2 linked regions of the Oryctolagus cuniculus genome follow. The protein of the gene in region 1 binds, or shares a complex with, the protein of each later gene. Links are inferred from orthologs where the notes say so. Each region holds a gene or a part of one and is shown in the gene's direction. Other genes may lie near its edges. The genes, in order: RALGAPA1 and RALGAPB.

Region 1 (3,826 bases):
TCTGTTATAATCCATATAGATTCCCAAAGTAATATTCATATTATTTGTAATAATAGTTAATTATAGCCAATGTGCAATACATGGATCAATGTATTCTGCCATCAAGATAGACGCACTGTGTGAGCACTCCAAGAGAGTAACACATACGTCATACATAGCTGGGAGCCCACAGGTACTCTGGGAACTCTGTCCTTAGGGATATAATAATATAAGCGAATCTGCATTATTTATGGTCCAGGAGATGAAATGACATGTAGGTATCACTGTATTCTTTACATGTAAAATTGAGGCCTATCCACTGTGAATTATTTGTGGAGTTTGCATATGTTGAGTATATAGCACAAATGCCATTTGCTAGTGCATGGGAACTTACAGATAACTTCCACCACCCACACTGACAAGCCCGAGTGGCCTCTCAGTTGACTGAAAGGGGACTCAACTAGAAATAAGGGAGACAAAAACTGGTTTTGGGAAAAATATTCTTCGAGTTTGGTGGACCATAAGTGCTCTCCGATAAAACTTTCTACGATGGTAGAAATGCTCTGCACTGCCCAGTATAGCAGCCGAACATGTGAAGTATGGCTAGCGGACTGAGAAACTGAATTTTTAATTAAGTTTGATGAAATTTATTGGGGCTACCATACTGGACAGTTCAGTGCTAGAGATTTTATTCCTGGGTGGTTAGGATAATATGCCACCAGTACAGTGAACACTTTAAAGAAAGGTGAGTGTTACTGAAACTCTCATAGACGTTTTTTCTTCTTTTTTCCTATATGAACTTGTGTTGTTAGTTGGTAAGTATCTCATTTGTAAGTACAAAGCACTGTCCATTGTCAGACATCACCATTGGAACTCACTGCATGCTCAGTTACATTTCCTAACGAAACCCTGATTCTTCTCCGCTTCTCGATTAACATCTGTAAACTTCTGCATTGTGTCGCTCATGTCTGTTACCTGTCTTCTCTCTCGTTTTCTCACTTCTGCTTGCTACTCCATTCTTCATTCACAACAAAGAAAGAAAGGCAGTGATAGTTCTCTTCCTCCCAAAGCCTCCGCTAGAAAACATTGGCCATCTCAAGGTAAACAGCCACGGGAAGGCCTCCCACACCGCGGGACCCAGTGCGTTACCACAAAGCATGAACCACCCACCGCTCTTCACCTTCCTCCGCCATCCCTCTGCAGCGCTTCCCTGTCAAGGGCCATGGGTTCGTAAGATTTAGATTTCCCAATACAGATCCACTACAAACAGTTCAGATCTTCAGGAAGAATAAAGGCATATAGAATTACTTCCTTCTCCTCATGTTTCAAAGAGCTGGCTCATTTCAGTTCAGACGTAGAAGATACTTTGAGGAGGAAAGTAGTTGACCTAGATTATGAGTTCACAAAATTTTCTCCCTTAGTACTGTGTACGCCAGACATAACGTGGCCTTAACTGCTTCACACATCAGGAGACAGTAGGATCCGTACTCCTTATTGAACATTTTTGCTTTTCTTTAAATAGTTAGAACCTTAAGCACAGATGTTTCATTAGATGAAGTGCTGGCATAATTATTTCCAAGGTTGAAGCATCAGTGAGGAGTGCTGCACTGGCTAACAAATAAACCAAAAGTTTCCCTCCAAAGTAAGGGAGTGTATAAATTTAAGCTTGAAACATGGGTGGGGTTTTGCTTGTTTGTGACACAAACTTTTCATATACTCAGGCCCCTCAAAACCTGGATGAAAGTGCCTTAAAACACAAAAATACTTGAAAAAGTTTGTGAAAAAATGGAATTGTAAATTTTCATACAGAAAAAATACTAATATCTGTGCATAGCTTTTTCATAATATGCCTTTTCCATGAACAGTTCGATGACCTCTCATATACAGAATTGTATGTTTTGTTTCCAGATTTTCTACTTCTAATGTAATCTTACTCATTTGTCTAGAAAATATTTAAAAACTTACGGTGTTCAAGATTCTGTAAAGAATCGTAATTCATAGAAATAAAATACAGAGGTGAAGAACCACTTTGTAAATGACACAAAGAATTTTCTTTGTTTTGCTTCTTTTAAAATCTTAGCTCTACTAAGTACCAGTTACTTGCTGTGCCTGAATACTGTAACTGCCCAAGTTTAGCTCTTCTAAATTAAGAAATTTGAGCCAATTTGTCCTTTTTGACTGACTTGCAGATGAGAATTCTTATCTTTGTCCCCTCCCCAGGAATTCATCTTTCTCTTTCCTAAGACCATATTTAAACACCAGCATGTACAGTGGTCTCATAGTGCTAAGTTCCTTCTTGGAATTGTTGGTTCCAAAATTGAAGCTGCCCCACCCCCGCCTCTTGATTTCAGTTATGTACCTTGAACCCTAGAGAGAGGATTGGTTCTCCTCACTTGCTTCTTGAGCTCTTCGCTGCATGTGGATGGTGCTGTGGATCCCCGTTCTTGCTGGCCCAGATTTTGTTTCCCATTACTTTTTCCACGGTTCTGGCCCCGAGATACTGATTGGCGCTTTCTTGCTAATACGATGGCCTCTGCCAGCAGCTCAGGGAGCTGTTGTAGCAGGCAGGTTGGAGGCTTGCTCTCTCCCTCCAAAGACCTGCCTGAGGGTCGGGATCCTTGCCGCAGATCGGCAGCAGAAAGGTCATTCCAGATGGGATGAGAGGACGGGTGCCGGACTAACGTCCTTGCTGTTTCCTGCAGGCTCCTACCCAGAGGTTCTACCCAGTGAAACTCCCACAGCCACGCAGGTAGACGGGGCTGACCTGGCCTCGCCAATGTCTCCTCGAACTAGCAAAAGCCGCATGTCCATGAAGCTGCGTCGTTCCTCTGGCTCAGCCAATAAATCCTAAGGAGACAGCAGCCCAGGAGTGACCAGCAGTAGTAGCCACCTTAGCACGAACACAGTGTTAACCCTCTCAGGCCCTCGTGTCTGCCATACCACGCATGCTCCTTCCTGTACATTTGAGAAAACACTGGATTTAAATAATTTGTAACTTAATATTTTAATGTGGATTATTTATTTTTGTTTCCCCCCACACTCCAAGCTGCCATATTTTGATGGTGTGGAGTTTTATTCTACATTCTTTACCTTCCTAGATAATTATGTGTCAGTAGTTTTACCTTAATTTCAAGATAAACTTTGAGTTAAAATATAATTGGACAGTAGTCTATTTATTGTTTCCCATTGCATCTTTATGTCTCAATAAATATCAATTTTTTTTTACAAATGTAAGGTTTTAAGTTTAAGCATTTGTAAAGTTAGGGCAAAAGTCACAAATCTGTTAATACACAGAATGTGTACAGATTATTTATGTTATGAGAATAAAACACTCAAAGTAAATGGACTTTTAGCATCTCGAATTCCTTGGAAACAATTTTAGCATTAACAGTTTCCTCCCAAGGCAGTGTCTCACTTGTCGGCTGAGCAGCTAACGCTGTGACATACCCATTAACAGAACAATCACTGTGCTGGACTTTGATTTATGTTTAGCTTCCAGATATTTTTCTAATGTTTTGCTTTTTTAAGTGGTATCATTGTTAAATGCCATTTCTATTTGGAGATTGTGACCCTTTATTATGGACTGCTAGGTCCTGGTGTACCTGTATTCTCTTAAAGTACCAAACAGAGCAGAGAGGGAGGGAAGAAGGAAGAAACTTTGCTGAAACAAATTGCTCAAATTATGTGTATTTAGAAAAAGAAAAAGTAAAGGGAACCTGCCCCAGGAGTGTAAGGTAAACCTGATGGTGTTAAAACCGAACTTGCAGGTGCAAGTTGTCCACATTCCACCCTCCAGAAATATTTTCCTATAGTGGATAAGCTGCTCACGTTTCTTTTTGAATGGGCA
Region 2 (3,826 bases), on another chromosome or scaffold:
TAGTGCAGGGGCCCACGAACTTGGGCCATCTTCTGCTTTCCCAGGCCATAGCAAAGAGCTGGATCAGAAGTATAGCAGCTGGGTCTCGAACTTGCACCAATATGGGATGCCGTCACTGCAGGCGGCGGCTTTACCTGCTACACCACAGTGCTGGCCCCCACAAAGGGAAACTTTGTACTTATTAAACAGTTGCTTCTTCATCCCCCTTCCTCTATCCCTGACAACCACCAATCTGCTTTTTGTCTCTATGGATCTATGTCCTATTCTAGACATTCCGTATAAATGGGATCATGTACTATGTGATCTTTTGTGCTTGGCTTCCTTCATTTAATGTGGTTTTAAAGTTTCATGTTATAGAATATATCCTAATTTTGTTTACTTTTGTTTTTGAATAATATCCCATTGTGTGTTTGTGTATGTGTTTGTATACCACAATTTTTTTATCCATTCATCAATTGATAGGCATTTGGGCTTTCCATCTTTAGGCTGTTTATACTGTTGCTATGAACATGCATGTACATGTATTGGTTTGAATGCTAGTTTTCAGTTCTTTGGGCCGTATACCTAGAAGTGGAATTGCTGGATCATATAGCAATCTTTTTTTTAAAACACAAACAAACAAACAAAAATTCATTTATTTTAAAGGTAGAGTGACAGAGGAGTAGTGACAGAGAGATGGAGAGATCCCCAGTTGTCCACAACAGCCACAGTGATCCAGAAACCAGGAGCCAAGAAGTCCATCCAGGTCTCATGTAGCTGGCAAGGGACCCAAGTACTTGTCTTCTTAGGTGCATTTGCGATATCGAAAGTGAAGTGACTGACTAGGACTTGAACTGATATTCCAGCATGAGATGTGGGTATCCCAAATGGCAGCTTAACCCACTGCACCATCATGCCTGCCCCATGGTAATTTTTTATTTATTTATTTATTTTTTTTACAATTTTATTTATTTGAGAGAGTTACAGACAGTGAGATGGAGAGACAGACAAAAGGTCCTCCATCTGCTAGTTCACTACCCAAATCCCCATAACATCTGGAGCTGTGTTGATTCGAAGCCAGGAGCCAGGAGCTTCTTCCAGGTCTCTCATGTGAGTGCAGAGGCCTAAGGATTTGGGCCATTTTCCACTGCTTTCCCAGGCTGTAGCAGAGAGCTGGATTGGAAGAGGAGCAGTCAGGACTTGAACTGGCACCCATATGGGATGCTGGCACTGCAGGCGGAGGGTTAACCTAGTGCACCATAGTGCTGGCCCCGGTAATCTTTGTTTAATCTTTTGAGGAGCTGCTAAACTGTCTTCCACAGCTGAGTCCTTTTACATTCCCACCATCAGTGTGTGAGGGTTCCAGTTTCTCTTCATCCTCAGTAACAGCAGCAAAATGTTCAGTTACAAAACCCTCAAGACAGCCCAATTTTAAAGCAGTTAAAAGATTGGAATACACTATACCAAAGGAGCTTTACAGATAGTAAATAAGCACATGAAAAAATGCCCTATCATAATTTGTTAGGAAATGCAATTATGACCACAATGAAATGCCACATATCTGTTAGAATGACTAAAATGAAAATGACCATACCAAATGCTGGTGAGGTTGTAGAGAAGCTACTGATGGGAATGTTAAATGTAACTACCATTTTGGAAACAACTTGGCAGTTCCTTAAAATGTTAAAGATACATTCTTACCAATCATATGACCCAGTTATTCCATTCTTAGGAAATAAGAGAGCATATATCCATGCAAGGACTTGTACATAAATGTTCATACCAGCTTTATTTGTAATATCCAAATGTTCATCAACAGGTGACTGGTTAAACAAATTGTGATATATCTTGAAGTGGAATACTACTCAGCAATAAAAAGGAGCAGATAACTGACATACATGCACAAGTAGATGAATCTGAAGATAACTGTTTTGAATGAAGATGCCCAAAAAATCATACATGTGTGTATGATTTCATTTTTATAAACTTTAGAAAATGCAAACTAATCTGAGATAAGCAGTTTAGGGAGGGCAAGGAAGAGGAGACAGAGAAGACAGAAATGCCTGAGGAGATTTTGGAGTTGATAAACAGTGTTCACCCTTGATTGTGGTGATAGTTTGTTTACAGGTGGATACTTATGCCAAAAGTGATCAAATTGCACACTTTAGATATGTGCAGTTTACTGTAAGGTAATTATACCTTCAGCAGTCATGCAGAGCATAGAGCATTGCTGTGAGACTGGGTTAGGGACTTAAAAACATGGGCATGCTCCATTGCCAGCTGTTTTTTCAGTCTCTGGCAGTGATAAATATGTACACTCAATGGGTTTGGGTTTTAGGGCAGGAAAAACAATGCTAAACTGAAATACTGTTTTAGGATTTGAAAGAAATGCCACTATTTTTGTACAGTATTATAGTACATCTGAAATATTCTGGTTTTGTATATACGTAATATTTAAAAAGCAAGGCTTCCTGTGATGTATGACATTCTCAGATAGATCAAGCCTTGGTACAGATGCCTTGAAATGGGTTCAGTGGTTCCTGGCTAACTGTTTTTCTTGCCCAAATGAATATACCAGGTGAAAGTGGTGGTTGACTCAGGAGACCGGAAGCGAGCCATCAGTTCTGTGTGCAGCTACATTGTATACCAGTGTAGTCGACCAGCTCCTCTTCACTCCCGGGACCTGCACTCCATGATAGTGGCAGCTTTTCAGTGTCTCTGTGTCTGGTTGACAGAGCACCCTGATATGCTTGATGAAAAAGTGAGTTTAACTTTAAGGCATTATGTAGAAACAAAAAGGTATATTGGGAAAATGCCTTTTAAAGGAAAATATTCAGATTTAAATACTATATTATATTGCACCCTTTAAACCAAATATGCCTGTTAGATTTCAGTAGAATATTTGTCCTTGTGAGCACAACTTAAACACTCCTTATCATGCTTATATTTGGTTGCAAACTAACCCATAGAGAAGTCCTTTTGAGAGAAGTGCCTTTCAAAGACAACCCTGAATCTAACATGTCCTAAACTGTTCCATATTTAACTGAGTTACTGATACAGCTTTTTCACAGTTTACACGTCATGGTAATTTTTACAAGAATTGTCAGTGATAAGATTGAATTAAATTTAATTCTTTGAACACTCAAATTTCATTCTTCTAAAGAGAAATTGGGGGAAGGGGCTATAAATATAAAGTTCATTATATTGTGAAATTCATTTATGTTTAGATAAAATTAGAAGCTGGAGTCCTACCCCCCAAACACTACCACTGTTAATATTTTGATGGATTCCTTATCATCTCATTGAGAAGGGTATGCTACAAAAATTGATCTGCCTTTTGTGCTTCTAGGACTGCCTGAAGGAAGTTCTAGAGATTGTGGAATTGGGTATCTCAGGAAGTAAGTCCAAGAACAGTGAGCAAGAGGTCAAGTACAAAGGAGATAAAGAGCCAAACCCTGCCTCTATGAGGGTAAAGGATGCTGCTGAAGCCACCTTGACATGGTATGAAAGTGGCTGCACCAGGTTGTGTCTAGCCATCCATACTATTTTATCTCCTCCCAGATTGTTCAGTATTAAGTTAATAGCCTCTTGATGATAAATTTTCTCCAGAAATAAAATGGAAATACTCTGTTTTTATTTTTGTTTTAGACAAAAAGAAACCAGAAACTTGGAGCTGAGAGTTTGGGTCCTTGTTTTTCTGTACTAGTTGTTGTTATACCGTGTTAGAGCTGGAAAAGATCTTGGAGAGACTGACTCTACCCCCTTACTTTGATAGCCAAGTCCAGAGATGGCCATCTTACCATCTGTCTGTGATGACAACTCAGGGGTCTCTGTTCTCTACCACACT

What was found.
Region 2: RALGAPA1 (region 1) and RALGAPB share a complex: the UniProt entries of both Homo sapiens proteins name them as parts of the heterodimeric RalGAP1 complex. The link is inferred for Oryctolagus cuniculus from reciprocal best matches to the Homo sapiens genes RALGAPA1 and RALGAPB.

What each region holds. Positions count from the first base shown.
Region 1 is NC_091443.1:40,049,902-40,053,727, forward strand, and holds part of RALGAPA1 (ral GTPase-activating protein subunit alpha-1), read left to right. Parts: exon of another isoform or gene 1-2,681; coding exon 2,682-2,830; 3' UTR 2,831-3,826. UniProt on the Homo sapiens protein: Catalytic subunit of the heterodimeric RalGAP1 complex which acts as a GTPase activator for the Ras-like small GTPases RALA and RALB.
Region 2 is NC_091442.1:20,223,675-20,227,500, reverse strand, and holds part of RALGAPB (ral GTPase-activating protein subunit beta), read left to right. Parts: intron 1-2,557; coding exon 2,558-2,740; intron 2,741-3,328; coding exon 3,329-3,480; intron 3,481-3,826. UniProt on the Homo sapiens protein: Non-catalytic subunit of the heterodimeric RalGAP1 and RalGAP2 complexes which act as GTPase activators for the Ras-like small GTPases RALA and RALB.